Linked DNA regions of Caenorhabditis elegans. The protein of the gene in region 1 interacts with the protein of each later gene in a pairwise test. Each region holds a gene or a part of one and is shown in the gene's direction. Other genes may lie near its edges.

What was found.
Region 2: the proteins of F56C3.9 (region 1) and B0303.7 interact in a two-hybrid assay, tested with the Caenorhabditis elegans proteins (one large-scale study listed by BioGRID).

The regions. Positions count from the first base shown.
Region 1 is NC_003284.9:1,388,562-1,398,568, reverse strand, and holds F56C3.9 (BTB domain-containing protein), read left to right. Parts: upstream 1-4,577; 5' UTR 4,578-4,581; coding exon 4,582-4,709; intron 4,710-4,767; coding exon 4,768-4,898; intron 4,899-5,938; coding exon 5,939-6,025; intron 6,026-6,080; coding exon 6,081-6,156; intron 6,157-6,207; coding exon 6,208-6,337; intron 6,338-6,579; coding exon 6,580-6,648; 3' UTR 6,649-6,769; downstream 6,770-10,007. Other genes in the region: H39E20.1 (Transposase), read left to right, coding at 2,018-2,090, 2,140-2,216.
Region 2 is NC_003281.10:8,687,261-8,697,267, forward strand, and holds the start of B0303.7 (SH3 domain-containing protein), read left to right. Parts: upstream 1-6,361; 5' UTR 6,362-6,394; coding exon 6,395-6,482; intron 6,483-9,684; exon of another isoform or gene 9,685-9,790; coding exon of another isoform or gene 9,791-9,800; intron 9,801-10,007. Other genes in the region: hadb-1 (putative 3-ketoacyl-CoA thiolase), read right to left, coding at 1-165, 223-682, 732-903; B0303.4 (transmembrane and ubiquitin-like domain-containing family 1 protein), read left to right, coding at 2,701-2,742, 2,854-2,988, 3,075-3,244, 3,292-3,420, 3,482-3,578, 3,627-3,681, 3,948-4,478, 4,942-5,430 and 1 more.

The DNA.
Region 1 (10,007 bases):
CCCTAAGAAAGAATTTTTCATTAGAATTTTTAACTGTTTTTTTTCAGTTGTTAAGGACATTCGGGATGGCTGATGTGATTGATGCAGAAATGGAAACGATAGAGGAAATGCTGTGGCCAGAAAGAATAATTTTTGTTATAATGATACTTGTAATTCTTGGGAGTTTATTTACCGTTTCCTAGATTTTTAAAGTGTTCTCTATGAATGAACCTAATTAATTTCTTGTATTTTGCAGTACATATTTCACCAAAATATAATACAAAACTCAACACTACAGATATTTGAATTGCCCGTTAAAAAAACAATAAAAGTAAATATGAATTTTTAATATACCGAGTGAAATTAGCTGAATTTTAATTTTATTATTTTTTAGATTATAATATTCGAACTTTCTCTCTTTCTTTCCAACTAAAAGGAATCATCTGGGTGCGTAGGAAAAAATGGCTTTACTACTATGTTTACATTACACTGACGACAGCAGCTGCACTGCAACATTCTGCATTCACAACCATTTTTTATCTTACTCGGGTCACTGGTGGTGACCCTCTTCTATAAAACCGTTGCCAATCTGAAGTCGCCGCGTCGCTCACTTTTCACCGAGATCGCTGTCTAGACTTATAAGCTTTTGATCCATTTCTTTTGTTTTGACCCACCGCGCGCGCGCGTATTCTCATTTTGAGTGTGCGTCGCCGCCGGCCTCACTCCCTTCCAGCCAGTATAAAAACCGGAGTTTCTTTTATTTTCGAGCTTTTTTTTCTCTTTTTTGTTTTAACGCGCTCTACATTCTGTTTGTGGATGTGGGGTCCGACAGGCATTTGCTCACTGCTTCTTGCATTCTTTCTTTATTCTTATTAGCTAGTTTCCACTTCTTTATCGAATTTTTTTTTGTGTTTCATGGTAGTTTTTTCTTCATTATCAAACCATTACTTGTTATATTGAATGAATTTTTTCAAGTTTACAGAATGCTCAACCAAGACCACAACGCCTCTGCCAAATCTGGTGGTACTCTTCCTGTGCTACCCCTCGCTCTTCAGGAAACTTCCTTGTGTCAAACAACACGAGTCTGGCTGAGACAAAATGGAGGAAGTGGATGAGACCGACTTGTTCCTTCAAAGTGATCAAGCAGGAGATCAAGGAAGAGCAGTAGGAAGCGGATCAACCAAAGAAGCCTAACTTAGATGGACTCAAGCGCCAATGTGGAAAACCTAGAGGAATGCATGGAACTTGACTGTGCTCAAGAAATTGAGGAAGAAAACTGTCGTTGCTTTCCAACAGCACGAGTCTGGCTGAGGAAAAAAAAGAAAGTTGTAGCACTTTGTGGTCCCAACACTCCAAAGGCGATGGAAACTTCTTTGGCGTCAAACAACCATCACGATGCTCAAGCTGAAAATGTGGAATACCTAGAGGAATCTATGGATCTTGACTGTGCTCAATTGAGGAGGAAAACCTAAAAGTTCCAAGGACTACAGTTTCGCCGGGAGAACAACAATCAGTCTCGTTCCTTTTGAGTGATTCGGCAGGAGATCAAGGAAGATCAGGAGGAAGCGGCTCAACCAAAAAATACTAACTTTTTTGAAAACTCTGATAGACTCCAGCGCCAGTTCCTTCGAGCAACACGAGTCGCACTGAGAAAAAATGAAGAGAAATGAAGGAGTTCAGTGGTTCAGCAGGAGAACATGGAAGATCAGGAGGAAGCGGCTCAACGAAAGTAGCCGCAAGCTGATACTAAATGCTGAGCGATTGATTGAGTGGAGAAGTTATCAAACTCTAGGTAAGTACCTTATTTCACTTTCCGGGCTTTTGTCCTCAAACCCCAAAAAAACAATTTTTCACGATTTTCTTAAAAGCTCATGCTTTCAACAATTTGAAAATTGCCAAAACTTTGACTTTAAAAAATTATAAAAAAATCTAGAATTTTTTGAATCAATTTAAGCCAACTAGGACCTCACCGGCGCTACTCTATCTTCAAATCATTCTTTTCAGACTTCTACCGATTCTTCTTCAATGAGCACACCTCATGCCCCAATTTGTTGTGAACTTGTTTCGATACAAATTCTATCGGGATAATGGCCCAGACTCTATCGGAGCAAGTAAGTTTTTTAAAAGTCAAGCTTCATGTTATAATTGTAAAAATTTCAGATATTGGATGGAAAAAGCATAGCGAAAAAAAGAACATAAAAGTGGCGAGATTGGCACCAGGAACGGCAGAATATTAATTTTCCTTTTTTTTTTTAAATAAAATGTACTTTTAATTCAAATTCATGTAGTTTCAAATAAAGAAAATAAGTCTTCCTGCTATCTGAATTCAGTTTTTTTTCAACTTCTCGGTGTCGCAACGTCTGGAACCTAATTTTTATTTATTTATCATTTTTTAACAAGTATTGTAAGACACCACAAAATCTAGTCCAGTCATCATTATTTCCCCCTGCTAAACTCACGGAAAAGTCTCGTGAGAATCATGTTCTCCACTCTCCACGTCATTTTGAACGTTCTCTCATCAAGTGATAAGAAAGATAGCAATCTTTCTCTAAACCCCCGTTGCAGCTGATTTCATGGGATTTTACAATGACCACCAGACTAGTGATTCGTTGCACCCGGAAATATACAGCCAAGTGCAAGAGTTCAGTGATAACTGATCTAGGAGGGAGCAATGAACAATTTTTGTTTTCTTCTATTTTATTTTCCAATGGTGATCCTTGTTTTGTGGATTTTGACCGACTAATAATAGATCTTTAAAAAACAAAACGTGTGGAAAAATATTGATGTTTATCTGGTTTTCGTTTTTTTGGATCACAAGTTTTTGTTTTGATTTTTAAGTTTTATTTAACAACAACCTTTTTTCTAATTTGAAAAATTGTTTCAAGGTTTAAAATGCAACATATTTAATTTTTCGCATACGCTTAATAAAATTTGAATTTAAAAAAAAGAAAAAAAAATTGAACGAAAAAATGTTTTCAAAAAAATTTCGCGATTTCAAAATGAAAAAAAAATTTAGCCAAAAAAGGTTTTTTTAAATACTTTGAAAATGACAAAATAATCACTTTTTCATGAAAATGTGAACTCGGAGTTCCATAGTTAAAGTTGGTTTTTTTTTAATTTTAAAAATTAAAAATAATTTTTTTTTAGTTTTTAGTTTTTCTATTTCTCACTTTCTTAATTAGAAAATTAGAATTCGCGGTTTTTTAATACAGTTTTTCACAGATATTTGACTGTTTCAATTGCTTTTAATTCTGAATTTATGTCGGTAAATTCTTGGCTCTAATTCGGGTTTTTCTGCTAATTTCTAACAATTTTTATAATGTGTAGAGTTAAAAAAAATGCCTTAAAAAAGCTTTCCCTAGAAATTTTAACACCCACAATTTTACTTTGAACAATTTTTTAAAGGTGGAGTGCGCCTGTGGGGATATTGTTAAGAACCACTTCTATGATCCCAAAATGACCGAATATCATTATAAAAGTTTTCAAGCCTTTTTTGAAATTTTTTTATTTACTGTCAAAAAGTGACAATTACTCAGTTTTTGCCACTCATAATTTTTGAAGTCGACCAAAAAAAAAAATTTTTTTTCCTATATTTTAAAACTTTAATTCTGATTCAATTATTTGTATTAAAACATTGTAGGGGTTGGAACATGCGAGATTGCTTTGGATTTCCTCAAAAGCAAATATTTATTTAAAATTTTGGAAATTTGCCAAAACTGAGTGTTTTATTATGATATTTGGTCATTTTGGGTTATTACAAGTGTATTTAAACAAAATTCCTACTAGCGCGACTTCATCTTTAAAAATATATCCAAAAACCACCGATATATATACATACATGAGCTATCAAAAAAAAGACTCCCCAATTACATCACTCTCCGTAACGAACACCCGTGGTGTCTAGTCGTTTAGTGTAAGAAGTTAGATGTCTATCATCATCTGACGACAGAAATTCCGGATTTCTATTGTTCACAGAAAGAGAAAATAGGGGAGGGAGGTGGGACATTTCAGAGACTGATGTAATATCATCATAAGTTGGGGGAGGGGGGGGGGGAGGCGGAAAAACAAACAAACTTTTGAGACTTTATTCTCTATTTTTTTGAGGCTATTGTTTTAAGCGTACCCGACTGATAACGTATCAGGCAAACACATTTTTTTTTTCATTTCTTAAAGTCCAAATTTCGGAACAGTTTTTTTTGTTCAGACTAAAATTTTACCTATAATTTGAAAAAAAAAATTAAAAGTGGAAATTTAATCAAAATAACAATTTCAAACTGTTTTTTATTTCGTTGTTCTCGTGGTGTCAGATTGTCTCATTTTGGCTTGATCTACGTAGATCTCCAAAAAATGCGGGATTTCTCCGATACAGAGTTCTCAACTGATTTTGCATGGTTAAGAACGTGCTGACGTCACATATATTTTCGCAAAAAATTACCGCACATTTCGTAGATCAAACCGTGATGGGACAGCCTGGCACCACGTGTTTTTTCCTTTTTTTGTATTTTTTTTCTTGGCGAAAAAAAAACTTTTTCTTGATTCAGTTTTATCTATATTTTTTTTAATTTTCTCACACCACTGATTCAAAACATTTTTTTTAGGAAAATGACTCAACAAAAAATGCACATGTTCTCCACTGAAACTGCTCTTCGGAAATTCCAAATCAATACTCAATCCGACACAATTTACGTGAACCTCAACTACCTGGCAGAGCTCTCCGAGTATTTTCATATGTAAGTTTAATAAAACATCGTTTTTTTCTGAAAAAAAAAAGAAATGTAAATTTTGCAGACTACGCACTGGCTTCTACTCCGAAATGACAGCTGAGAAAGTTAATTTGAATGATGTTTTTGCAGAGGATCTAGTAGTTTTTCTGTCATATGTGTGCCCAGATGGTTTTGAATTTGACAGAACTATTAATCGTAAGTTAGCTTTTTTTGACTGAATATTATTGTGACTCAGTGTTTTTAAATAAATTTAAAACAAATTATTTATGAATTAATTTTTAAGTATCTGTATAAATATTATTTTTCTTCAAGTTTTTATATTTCAAAGGTAGAAAATTACACTGTTTTATTTTTCGTTTATATCAAAATCCAATTTTGTTACTCAAAAATATATTTTTACGTTTTCCAACATGTTTTAAATTTTGCCATTTTGAGTTGATTTCTTGCAAATTTTAATTTTTTATTTTATTCTCAAATATGGTAATATGAAGCATTTTGTGCACAAAGCAACTCCAAAATTTTTCGTTTTTCTTCAAAAAATTCAGCTAAAATTTCAAAAATATTCCGAATATTCTGACAGCATGTGAATTTTGTTCTCAAAAAAATAATTTTAAAAAACCGGTTCCAAGTTTTAAAGGTGGAGTACCGAAATCTGGGAAATATTCTTAAATGACTCCAAATTTTCCCCTGATTCCGAATATTTGAGTGAAAAAATTCGAAAAAAAAATCCCTGATTTTATATTTGAGCTTGAAATCGCGATTTTCAATTGTGCACCCAAGTTATTTTTCAAATGCGCGCCAAAATAAATTCTCATTGGAGCGCAGTTGCCACATTCGATTTTTTGCATCAATTTTTATTTCTCTCAGTTTTCAGCTATTTTTTTTCGCATTTGAAAAATCTCATGGGGGGGGGGGGGGGCGTAAATGAAATTCGCGATTTCATTCTCAATAAAAAAATCAGGGAATTTTTTTAAAATTTTTTAAATTAGATATTCAGATTAAGGGAAAAATTTGGAGTCATTTAAGAATATTTCCCAGATTTCGGTACATCACCTTTGAATGTACAGTAAAACATATTTGAAACACTTCCAAATTTTTATGTAACAGAACCTGAGTTATTTTTAAAGTACTACTACAGTTTTGGAATTTTCCACACTTGGGTGAATCCACCTTCAATTTAAATTCTAAATTTATTCACAATACTTGTAAACTTGAAAACCCCCTTAATTTTTCAGAACATAACATCACACCACTAGTATATTTCTCGGACCGCCTCGTCTTCCCGTGGGTTAAACGGGAAGTTCACAAGTATTTAAATAGTGGTAAGAAAAATTTATTTAAATGAAACCCGTAAACTCTAAACTAAAATATTTCCAGAAGCCTTCCAAAACGAAATATATGACACCGAGTTGTTGGTCCAACTTTGCTACCTACTTCACAGTCAGAATTACAGGTAATCTAGACTTTTCGGGAAGCTAACTATATTCTAGTGAATGACTTTCAGCGAAATTGACGTGGTTTTCAAAAAAATCGCGCTCATTGATAACCCGTTAGTTGTGGATAGGCTTGTACAAGAAATCACGGATTCAGATGTTCAGTCGTTTTTCACAAAGAAGATTTTGCAATATAGACCGGTAAGATTTCACAATTTGAAAAAAACCTACTTATTTGCCTGCATGAGTGCCTGCCTACCACCTATTCAATTTTACAAACACCCGGCCTCTCGAAAGACAATTTTCTCGTCAATTTTGCCGGAAATTCAAATTTTCTTACAAAAAAAATTTTGGCGGGAAACTCAACTTTTCCGAGAAACAACTTTGCTGGGGAATTCAATTATTATGAGAACATTTTTGGCAAACTCAAAAAATTTTTTCAGTATACCGAGAAGCCACGGCCACAAATGTTCTTTGACTGGGATCACACTCCTTATTCCGCCTATGTTTGATTTACTACATTTTTGCATTTGCATTCAATTATTATTAACAAAATTCTAGTTTTTTTTTCTAATTTTGCATGTTCTCTATATATGTATATTTGTTTTTTTTTCAATAAAATATACTTGCAATAACTTTTTCAGAACGATTTCTTTTCTTTTTTTTTGAAAACCTACCTTGTTGTAATTTTTCAACGGCATTATTAGAAGCTTATGAATTTGAGCTACAATTTCAATTAAAAAACTTTGATACTTAAAAGGTACTGTAAATGTACTGTAGAATTACTGTAGCTTCGGAAAACAGAGTAGAACCCAGGCCATTTCTAAGCAAAACTATTTTCGAAAAAGCTCTTTGTAAATGGAAATTTTGAAAATTTTGAAAAAAATTCTGGAATATTGCAGAATCTTCTGAAAGAAAATGCAGAAAATGAAAATAGATGGTGTTTGCCTCATTTTACTTTTCTCCCTATATGGTTACTTTTTTCAGTTTTTCAGCTATTTTCATCCATTTTTGTCGTATTTTATAGTTTTTTTTTTGAAAAATATATTCTTTTGTGTCAATTGAACATTTTAATTTCATAAAATTGGATGACAATAGCTGAAAAACTGAAACAAGTAACCATATACGGAGAAAATTAAGTGATGCAAGTGCGCTCCAATGAGAATGCATTTTGGCGCGTATTTAAAAAAAGAATCCGGGGCACAAATGAAAATTGCGATTTCAAGCTCGAATATAAAATCAAGGAACTTTTTTTTTGAATTTTTCACACCGGTATTCGGGATCAGGGGAAAATTTGGAGTTATTTGAAAAAATTTTTTTCGGTTAAATTTTCGGTTATCTGTTTTTTTTCAATTCGTAAAAAAATCTGAGATGGAGCTTTTTTGTATACTCTATTGAAGTAGTTTTTCTGCAGAACTATTAATTTCTAATACATATTTATTTGCCTTATACATAGATTTAGTGAATTTCACATAAAATTATCCCTTTTACAAACTAGCGGTCTGGTATCACTTGCATTTTTGTCTTATAAATGTAAGTGAATGCAAACCGCCAGTTTGTATTCGAGGACAGTAAGAATAAATGTAGCTATAAAGTAATAAGGCCCGTGTTTTGGCTCGGACTTAATCTGGAGCTTGAAGTAAAGGCTTTTTATACAGCCTGGCGGCCCCGCCCATTTCTAGTCTCAGGTTCCGCCTTTTTGAAATTACCGTAAGTTCAAAAAAAGTACACAAATTAAAAAAGCGGTACTTTCTTTGACTTCAGAAAATGTTGTTTCCCATTGTCAAAAATTCAGACAGTAAAAGGTTGCGTAGTTGGAAAAGACGCCGCTGGCTGTGTTGCGCAATTTGGATTGGGAACGCCGATGGGAAGTATTGTATCTAAAAATTTAAATGAATAATTCCTAGTGGTTCTCATAACAATTTTTTTTGAAAAATTATAAAACCCCCTTATTACAAAATTCGATAGTTTTGGGCCACTGTGGGATTAAAAAAACAACGTCTAAAAATTCGCTACTCCACCTTTAAGAGTACGGCCATTTCAGTTTAATTTTAGGCTTTATCAATATTTTGTTCAGAAATAGGATCAAGTAATCTATTTCCAAAATCGCCAACACGAAGGTTGGTTAGTAACCTTTCCATAAAAGCAATTCACATTGAGTTGCATAACTTTGAGTGTGAGCGGTTTTGTTTTTGAAAAAAAAATGTTACATCATAGGCATGGTAACAAAACTCTGACAATCTTGCCCTGAATTATTCACCACAAAAAAAAATAATTCTAACGTGGATTTTAACAAGAAATGTGTGAATTTATAGGCTAGCTGGTAGGCACGAAATAGGCACTAGATCTGCAATTGTTCAAAAAAATGCCACATTGCAGTTTTTATCCTCTTCAACGCTTCATTAAAGGTAGAGCAGCGCCAGTGGGGAATATTTTAAAAACCACTCTTATGGTGCCAAAATAACCAGATGAAATAGTAAATTTTTTCCATTGTAAAAAAAATTATTTTAAAGTGTGGTCAGATGTAATTAATAATTACCTTCGAATATTTAATATCCAAATATTATACTGGTTCAAACAAGCGACAATGCTATAGTTTTTTTAAAGTGCCAAAAACTCAGTAATTGGCACTTTTTGAAACAAAATGAAACAAAATAAAAAAATAAGAAAATTCCAAAAGTTTAATAGAACATTTTTACTACACTGATATTTGGTTATTTTAACACCACTACTCCGCCTACAATGTGATATGTTAGCTGAGACAAATGAGATCAGAACAACATAGGTTGAGTATTTTTGAAACGTGTGGATATATAAAAGGTAGAGAATATCCCTTAGTTTATCTGATGAAATAGTCCACCGGACACCCGAGTATATAGTTGGCTTATAATAAAGTCTCTCACATGATATTACTAATTAGCTGGATTTGTACCTTGATCTCTGCAAGTTGCGAAAATGATTTTCCTCCTGACTCACATTACATTATGATATTTCATTAGTAAACTTGAATTCCAAAATCATTACGTGCTTTATTTGGCTTAAAAAATAGGGTTTGCTACAGGATTTGAAATTTTATGGAAGCTGCTTTTTCAGTTTCCCATGCACCTGTTGCGCAACTGCATTTGCCAATGCCGCCGGCGCCTTCAAATTCAAAATTTTCTCACAGTAAACAGTAAGTCATTTGAAACTATAGTTATTGCAAATAATGGGATATTCATGGGAATTTTTTAAAAATTAAGAAGGTTTAAATGTGCAAAATATGTGAAGAAAGGGAGAAAAATTCCAAGTTAGCAACTGATTATGGGGTATAAGCAGACAAATCTCAGCAGTTTAGATAACTCTTACAGGGATTATTCGAGTAGTGTTGGAAAACATTATAAACTAAAAAGAAAAGAAAAATAATTAAACAAAGCTTGAGGGGTATGACTATGGAAAAATACACTTGTCGAATAAAACATTGGGGATGTAAGACAGGGTAGGAATGTTGTGAATGTTCAATAATGTAAAAAAGTGACAAAAACGGAGGTGAAACTTATGAAATTACGGTAAGAAAATGATCAGACCAATAGAAATTATAAAAATCGTATTATCCTTGGAGCCAAGCTGTCTGGAATCACATTTTGGGTATGATGATTGGAAATGGAAGTAGTAGGACACCTGAAAAATGCAAAAGATTAAAACGCAAAAGATTAAATGGAATATCAAGGAGTGATAGTGAGATTGACCCAAATTGTGATCAAGTAAAGAAATTTTTTTGTTTTAACATTTCCTACAAAAAAAACCTAATTTGAGCTATGATTTCCGATTTTGGCCACTTTTCGGAAATTGACCTTTTTTCTAATTATCATTGCATATTTTTGTCGTTTATCTC
Region 2 (10,007 bases), on another chromosome or scaffold:
AGAGATGACAGCTTCTCAAGAGTGGATACACGAATTCCGTTGTCCTCTTTGATTGTCTTTGGCTTTTTTCCGTCTAAGAATACTGGAACAACATCAGTGAATTTTCCATTCTTAGCTGCTTCCGAAGCAAGAGTGTGGGAGCGGATTGCGAATTCGTCTTGTTCTCTGAAAATAGAAATAAGTAGACATTAATTAATTTCCCAGAAATTTAAGGAAAATTACCTTCTAGAAACATTGAACGCGGCAGCAAGTCTGTCTCCACTGTGTCCCATTGTCTCACCAGTTGAGAACTCAGCGACCGCTGGCAGTTCAGGAGAAAGCAAATTTTTGACAATTTGTCCTCCAATCTTCAACTTCGATGGAACATCTTTTGCTTTATTCATTCCCAACATAGCCTTTCTGGCGTTTCGATTGTAACGAATTGGCACATCAGACAACAATTCGACTCCTCCGGCGATGATTGCATTTGCATTTCCAGTGGCGAGCATTCCCATTCCAGTGGTCATTGCGACATTTGATGAGATGCATGCAAGAGTGACAGTGTGAGCTGGGATCTTATCTGGAACACCAGCGAGAAGAGCAGCTTCTCTAGCAATGTTACTGGTCTTGCATTCTTGAATAACTGTTCCACAAATAATGTGATCGAGTTGTTCATATGGCAGCTTTGTCTTCTCCACTAGTGCTGAAAAATGAAAAATTAATTTTCCTTATTTACAAATTTCTATACAAACCCTTGATAGCTTCTTTCTGTAAGTCAACAGCCATTAAATCCTTGAAAACAGTTCCAGAAACGACAAATGGAGTACGAACTGCATCGACAAGTACAATATTTGGCATATTTTTCTTGGCGACTGCCGAAGCGGCACGAGCAGTCCCGAACGAAGTGCTAACTGCGCGGAGCATCTTCTGAAAAGAAATCAGATTTAATTTTGGAGGTGGTTTATTTTTGAGAATAAATCTCCAAAGAACAAAAAATGCGTTCAAGAAAATAATTTAACGTACGAAAGAGAACAAAAAACAAATATGGAATCAAATTTGGTTCGCTACGTGTACTCTTATCATTTCATCATTGCCTACGGACAGAAGGGGACAAAGTATTTTCCCTCTCCTTTGAAAGAACACAGCAGAATAATTTTACACCCTTTCTTGATTTTTGAGAATATTAAACCAGACTTACTCTATTTGAAACGACAGCAGAACAAAAGCAACGGATCAAAAAATGAAATGAATTTAAATAATTTCTACATTGAAAAACCAAGAATTTAGAGAAACATTTAAAAAAAAGAAACGTGGCCGATCAGAAAAGAAAAAAATATATACTACAAAGTTCACAAAAAAAAATTCTTAAAAGCTGAAGAAAGAAAGTTCAAAATGTTAAAATCCAAAAAGAAATAATCAAACTAGAAAACAAATACACAATCGATAGATATAGTGTAGGTCACCAACACACAAGATAATAAGTGATGAGAGGAGGAGACGAGACGAACACAACAAGAAAACCTGGCTGTTGTGGCCTCCCATGCGCCGCCCGTCCGTCCGTCTGGACTTTGTACCTTGATAAATTCTCTATGTAGGCTACGGGTAGATAACTAATTTTACAGACACGAGGTGCAAATTGAACAGGAAAACGTGGTATGGGTTTGGAAAAAGGCAGGATGGGAAAAATTACGGGCAGTTTAATTTGAGCTGAGAGAAAGTTATTTGAAGGAGGACGAACGGTTCTGGGTTTAGCGCTTGTATAGGCTCAATATGTGCCAAAATAAACGAATTTCGTATTAAGACTTCTCAAAAATGTATCAAACATTTCTCGGTGGTTCAAAATAAATATAATATTAAACTCCTAAATATTTTACACATTTTCTCGTTTATCTCAAATTATTTCGTTGGTTAAGTAAATTTTAAGCGTAGAGGAATGCAAATTTTGTTAGTCTTTTGTTATTTTAGTATATTTATACAAAAAATCGAGGAAATATCAAATAAAATCAAGATATTCTGATGAAAAATGTTGAAAAAAAAGTTTTGATAAATAAAATAAACTCTCGCGCTTATCGGGTGTACTACGGTATTAAAGGCACATAAGCGTATGTCTGACGTTGGGTCTCGCAGCGTTTGCAATAACCAGCTGGAAGGGAGAAATGGAAATTAAATTTTTTTTAACGAAAAGATCTGTTCCATTGTTATTTTTCTAGTTTTTTCCCACTTTTTCTCAAAAGTTTTTCTCTAATTCGAATACTTTTCGTTTAAAAGTTTGCCAAATTCATTTTGAGGTACATAAATTAATAGCAAAATCACAAATATCACAACAAATACAATTAATTCATTTTTCCTTTCTTTTTTCACTTCACTCAACACCTTTTTCGATTCTTATCTTCTTTCGAATTCTTTTTCTAATCTACTCTCTCATTTCGCCTCTTTATAAATACTACTTTCTTACAGGCTAAATAGTTTTTTTTCACAAAAATAATTTCTGAAAAAACAAATTTTAAATTCTTTTTATAAAATTTAACAAAAAGGTTGTTTTCCTAAAAAAGCGTGCAATTGCCCGTCGATTAGTGCGCTTTCACGTATCGATTCTCTGCGCCAAGGAACATTTTAACCAACACGCTTCTCTTTATTTCTCTCAGTCTCTCAAGCATCATCTGATTTCATATTATTCTTCACTTTATTCTTCATTATTCCAGACAACACAACTAGACAAAAATGAATGCATTAATTGTTAAATCTGCACTCGAATATTTAGAGGTAAGTTGAACATTTATTGATTTTTTGAACCCTTTTCCCATTTTTTCATTGTTATGAAAAAGTGTCAAATTGAAATTGTTTAACTTCAAATCTAAAAAAAACTATTTTCAGCTAAGCACAGTCGTCGCAATATTAATCATCATAGCATGTGCACTTTTATCATATCAAATCTCTGCTCGAAGGCCTTTATATTATAACTTATTTGTTGTAGAAATGCACACTTGGACAACTAGGAGGATGGTGCAGGTAATTTTATTTAAATATTAAAAGAAAAAAAAAACGAAAAACACTATTGGAAAATTTCGAATAAATTTCTAAACTTCAAAATACAGGTTCTTCATCTCGGTCAAGAGTTCACACCGCCCGTCACATGGGAACGATTAGTTCAACGAATGAGGGCAAGAGCTCCACGAATTCAAGGAGAGCAAAGAGTGGCAATTTCTGATACAAATATTGTGATACAGTCGCCGAATACGGTTATTGATTCACCAGCTCCTGCAAGGTTTACTTTTAAAAATGTATTCAAATGTTTAATATTTCCAATTCCAGATCACCAGACGTTGACCTAATAACATTATGGGACATTGAAATGCCGCCACCGAGTGCTGGTCACGTGCCTGACGCCACAAGGGATAGTCAGTATGCTGCTGCAGCGGCGATAGCAATTTTAGCTAGAGGGTTAGTTTTTAAAAAGTTTAATTTAAGGTTTAAAACATTCAAAAATTCTGTATTTTTCCAGAGACGACGCATCTTTGATGTCTCGAACGTACAGGCCTCAACTTCGTCCACCAACAGAACGATCTGGAAATACTCGAGTTGATGAGTCGAGACCCAGCGTAAATGAAGAAAAAAAATTGATTTTAAAATAATTTATTTTGGTTCAGGAAAATTCTTCACGACATGATTACGTTACTACAGACGTTACGTATACGACTCCATGTAAGTTTTTCATATTGCTTTTTTTCGAAACTTTACCCGAACAATTTTAGCTAAAACTTCAAATATGACATAAAATCGACAATTTAATATTTATTTTCAATTTTTTGTAGGAAAAGCCTGAAAATTAGAGAAGAGATGAAACTAATTCATTTAAAAAATTAGAATCAGTTTCTTAATTTTTTAACAGTTACATTCGGTCATTCCGGCCTTTTTTATAATTAAAAGTAAAATCCCCGCCTGAAAATTAAAAATGTATGGATTTTCAGCAATAAACCCGGATATGCAACATCATCTTTCAACAAGAACGTCAAATGTAACACAAACTCAGCCTCCAACAAATCAAGTGTTCGCTGATACACCAGAGCTTACAGAAGATATTGTGATAGATCAACAGGAAGAAGATGATGAAGAGGATGACGATGACGATAGTTCAGATGATGCAATAATAGAAGATCATGAAGAAGAAGAAGGTCAAGATGATGATGAAGAAACTGAAATTGAAATTGATAGAGGAGGTCCTATTGAAGAAATTGAGCAAGTCGAAGTTGAGCAAAATGAGGATCCGCCACTGGATGATCAAGAAGTAGAAGCTCAACCGGAGCAAGTTCTTCAAGAAACTAAAGAATCCGAATTTCCAGTAATCGAAGGACCATCAGAAGGGAAGATTTTGATAAAGCTAAAGTTTATGAATGATACCGAGAAAAACACGTATGCATCACTGGAGGATACTGTAGCAAAGTTCAAAGTAGATCATTTCACAAATCTTGCGAATCAGGTCATACGGCTCATTTATCAAGGTATCTTTAATTTTTTATGTAAAGTAAAAACAGTTAGTAATGTATTTTAAAGTTTAAAAAAATTAATGAAAACAAATGTTTGGCATTTGGCAAAAAAGCTTTTTAAAAAATATTTCAAAAATGATAAAAAATAAGTGAAAACAAAGATCTAACGATTATTTTTTGCGAATTCCATAAAATTTCTGAAAATATAGAACACAATTTTATTGGCCTATATCTAAAGTATTCGTTGAAAGACACAAAAATGTACCTATCGACCGCAATTTATTTTGTTGATAATTTGATAGATTGGAAAAATTGTGAAAACGTGCCACAGTTGAAAGTTTTATAGAATTCCCAAAATTTAATACCACTGGCTCATAATCCTGAAAATCAAATGGAAAAATGAATATTAAAAAAAACTATTTGAAAAAATTAAAAGTCTTTTCTTCAAGCCTAAATAATTTTTAACTGAATTTTTCAGGCCAACTTCTCAGAGAAGATCATCGAACGCTAGAAGAATATGGTCTTCAACCAGGAAGTATAGTTCATTGTCATATTAGTACAACACCATATACACGACCAGGAATAGCAACTCTTCCTCCAATTGTCAATAATGGTTTTCGACGAAGACCTCGAAGATCCGTCAGAGCTCCACGTGACACAACTCCAATGCCGTCGGAAAGTGTTCCAGTAGTTGATGAGAATGTTACAACAGCAAGAAGAAGAGCTGCGCAGGACAGAAATGTTGGACAGATCTATTTACTTTTATCAACAATGGTTCCAATTCTTTCTGGAATTGGATTGGCATTTTTCCGTCCTGATCGAATTCGAGATCTACTTCGGCCAGCCACACTTCTGACGATTAGCCAATGGGTATGCAATTTACTTGTTGATAATGGATTGTTGGAACAAGATGATGATGATCAGGAAACTCATTTGCAAACTTCAACATTATTTTGGATTTTTGGAGGTGATTCTAATTTTCAAAAAAAAACACGTCAAAACGCAATATTTATTACAGGTCAAATGGTCGCAGTGAGCATATTTCTGTACTACTTTCCAGATGTATTTGATCGAGTCGGCTTTTCGATCTTCATTATTGTATTTCTTTACTTCGTTTTTGTGGTTTATTCACGTCAGCGACGACGCCAACCGGATCCTGTTGAGGTTCAAAATGAAATGATGGAAAATCAAATCGTCCAGGAGACTATTCGTCTTCTGTAAATTTTAATTTATATTTCACAGTGAGTTTTTATTTATTAGGAAAAATAAATTAAATTTACTTCAAAAAAACTTTTTAATTAATTGAAAACGAAAAAGTTATGAATTTATTTTCTTTTGAAAAAAGCTTTCGAAAAAAAACCAGAAATATTAATTTTTGCTTTAAAATTGAGTTTCGATTAAAAAGCTAACAAATAAATAGTTGTTTTTATTCAGCAATAGATTTTTCAATTTTCAGATTCTTGTACACTTCAAATCGAAACCATTATGATTCTAGCCACAACAAAATTGCACACAAAATGGGTATCAAAACACTTGGTTTTTTTTTCAAAATTTTCCACTTGAAACGGATCAGACAGAGGATGAGAAGATCCAAACATACACACATCGAATACTGCGAAATTTTATTCAATAATTCTTATTCCCCCCACCCCGTCCGTGTGTTCTGTGTATATTTGACTCGGTTCTTGTTTTTCATCTTTCTTTTGCATCATCATTAGATACTTCACTAGTAATAAATTGGTAGCTTTTATACAATTGTGGACTACAAAAAATACAGTGCTAAAGGATGTTTGATTGTAAACTTCGAAGAAGGCAGCAGCACAATTGAGTTGAGTAAATATGGAGAAAAGTTGGAGGCAAATAAACCCTTCAAGACCCCCTTTGGATTCACTTTTCCACCCAGATAGATAGTTGCTCCAACATTGAGAATAATGGTAAGGCTACCACCTCCAACGCCACCACGGAAGCCTAATATATGTGGGACATCTGGAAATTCAAATGGAATAAATGAGAATATTGGTAAGTTTTTTTTTAAACTTTATGCTGATTTTCAGATGTTTGTGAGATTTTTAGAGAAATAATTAATTCTAAAAATAATTTCGATGTATTTTTAAATGAAAAAAAAAACCACTTTTCGAAATTATAATTTTGAGATAAATTTAATTAACCTGAAAGCAGGATCTGCGAGCGAACGGCAAAATTCGCAAAAATAGGCGGTAGGCAGGTATGTAGGCAGTAAGGCTAGAGGCAGACACGAAAATGTAAATTCCTACGGCAGCTTTATCGGAAAAGTTGAGACGACTAATTTTTTAATAGTGATAAAGAATATGTGCCTTTCAGGAGTACTGTAATTTTCTGCAACGAAAGTCTGAAATTACAGTACCCCTTAAAGGCGCATATTCTTTTGAATCCAGCAAGCATTTGTCGTGTCGAGACCAGGCATCTATTTTTGGCATATGGGTAATATAATTTGATAAGTTGGAAAATATTGAAATTTTTTTTAAATTTCATTAAAAAACATTTGCTGTCACAATTACCACAAAATTTCCACATATTGTTCATAGATTTTTCGTTTTGGAGCCAAGAAAAGGTTCTCGCACTTGTCAGTATGTAGATAATTATAGGAAATCTTGCAATATACAGTGTGGGAAAGTTCTATAGGACCCCCCCTAATTTGAAGGTTTGAGGAACTTCCGAAAATTTTTTCGAAAAACTGCTAATGCCGTTCGTTTTTAAATTGAAAAAAACCTATATACATTTTTTTCCAGAAGTTTATCTCAAAAACTGAGGTCGCGCTGGAAAAAACGTCAAAATCCAGTGTGAAACTTCTATAGGACCCCCCGTTTTTTTTCACGATTTTTACTAAAATCAACAGATTTTGGAATTTTTGACAAAGCTCAAATCAAGTTTGAGTTAGAAATGAGTTCAGATAAGCAGTTTTGACTTTAAAAATTAATACGAAATGTTCTCGTGGGATCTCCAGACTGGTTCTGATTCTTCCGATCTTTGATGTTCAAGTCTGTTTCAAGCTTCCTGGTGCTCTCGGTAATGCAAAAACTTGATAAACTCTCTTTAACAAGTTCCTACTAAAATTCCTAGCACGCACTTTAGATGTTTCGACTGTGTAGTCAAGCTGATTTGGCAAAATATGCAGCAGGAAACAATGGAAGGCTTATCAGGAATCAAATCGTTTTTCTTTGATTACAAGGTTCCATGGGACCAATATTTCAAGTTAAATTGTCCCTCACAGATGTTATTTACTATTTTTTGCGTGAATTATTAAATGTGGAATTGTGGCATGTGTTGTGGCACACATATAGAGGCTGGAAAGCTTACTTCGAAAGCAGTCTAACTTGCAATGCCTCGAGGATCTGCCCTTTCGGACACTGAACGCGCTCAGCTGGATGTTATGAAATTGCTCAATGTGTCCCTGCATGAAATGAGTAGGAAAATTTCCCGTTCTCGACACTGTATTCGCGAGTATCTGAAGGATCCGGTGAGCTACGGTACATCTAAAAGAGCTCCTCGTCGCAAAGCTCTCTCCGTGCGTGACGAACGAAATGTGATTCGTGCTGCCTCCAACTCCTGTAAGACGGCAAGAGATATTCGCAATGAGCTTCAATTGTCTGCTTCAAAAAGGACCATCCTCAATGTCATCAAACGATCTGGTGTAATCGTTCGTCAGAAACTTCGCCCTGCTCCGTTACTCTCTGCAGACCATAAACTCAAGCGATTGGAATTTGCTAAGAACAATATGGGAACGAATTGGAGTAAAGTGAGAATTTAAAAAAGCAAGAGTGAATAATTAGGATCATTGTTTTAGGTTGTCTTCTCCGATGAAAAGAAATTCAATCTCGATGGGCCTGACGGTTGCCGCTACTATTGGCGCGATTTGCGCAAGGAACCAATGGTTTTTTCGAGACGTAATTTTGGAGGAGGAACGGTGATGGTTTGGGGAGCGTTCACGGAGAAGAAGAAGCTTGAGATACAGTTCGTCAGTAGCAAGATGAACAGCACTGACTATCAGAACGTCTTGGAACTGGAGCTCTCCAAATATCTTCGTCACTACTCCAGAAAAGACTTTAGATTTCAGCAGGATAATGCGACAATCCATGTGAGCAACTCAACCCGCGACTATTTCAAGCTCAAGAAGATCAACCTTCTTGATTGGCCAGCTCGAAGTCCTGATCTCAATCCAATCGAAAATTTGTGGGGGATTCTTGTCCGTATCGTGTATGCTCAGAACAAGACTTACCCAACAGTTGCATCGTTGAAGCAAGGAATTCTCGACGCTTGGAAGTCTATTCCGGACAACCAGCTGAAAAGTTTGGTCAGATCAATGGAGGACAGACTGATTGAGATCATCCGCACACAAGGAAACCCGATTAACTATTGATCCTTTCTTGATTTTAGTATATGAATGTTCTGTTGTTGATCAAAAATAACTGCAACTTGTTAATACGCTGTTTCTGACTGGTTTCTTGGGGATGGCGTAAAAATGTTTATGGTGTGTGTGCTAGGAATTTTAGTAGGAACTTGTTAAAGAGAGTTTATCAAGTTTTGGCATTACCGAGAGCACCAGGAAGCTTGAAACAGACTTGAACATCAAAGATCGGAAGAATCAGAACCAGTCTGGAGATCCCACGAGAACATTTCGTATTAATTTTTTAAAGTCAAAACTGCTTATCTGAACTCATTTCTAACTCAAACTTGATTTGAGCTTTGTCAAAAATTCCAAAATCTGTTGATTTTAGTAAAAATCGTGAAAAAAAACGGGGGGTCCTATAGAAGTTTCACACTGGATTTTGACGTTTTTTCCAGCGCGACCTCAGTTTTTGAGATAAACTTCTGGAAAAAAATGTATATAGGTTTTTTTCAATTTAAAAACGAATGGCATTAGCAGTTTTTCAAAAAAATTTTCGGAAGTTCCTCAAACCTTCAAATTAGGGGGGGTCCTATAGAACTTTCCCACACTGTATATTTTATCTATTTAAAACAATAAAAGAAGAAATAACAGGATGCTCTGGAAAGCTATGATGACTCATGCTCGAATGACGTGTCTTTTTTCAATGATTTGTCGAAATATGTGTCCGAGGTGTGTCTAGTCACAACATACATTCGTCACTTTCTCTCATTCTCTCGGCAAACACAAGAGTTTCCATTGCCTATCTGTCTGCGTTTCTATAACTTATACACTCTCTCGTATTCCTAGTCTTTTTCCTTTTTCTTCCATCCATCGATTTCCCCAGTTCTCATTCTTTTTATTTCTTTTTCTGGCAGTTTTAGGGTTTCTCACGCTCTTTTGTTCGGGCTGGTGCTCAATTTTCATGTCAAAAGGTAAGATTTGAAAATTTATTTACAGTTTCGTATTATCTAAATGTCCTGAGAGTAAGGATTTCTTGAAGACGATATTTAGATATTATATAACTACATAAGTTCTAGCTAAAATTCTGACTCCCATGAAAGCAGGAAATGCCTACCTGCCTGCCTATAGGCCAGATAAAACTTGATTTGAAAAACAATTACGCCAACTTTTTTTATGAA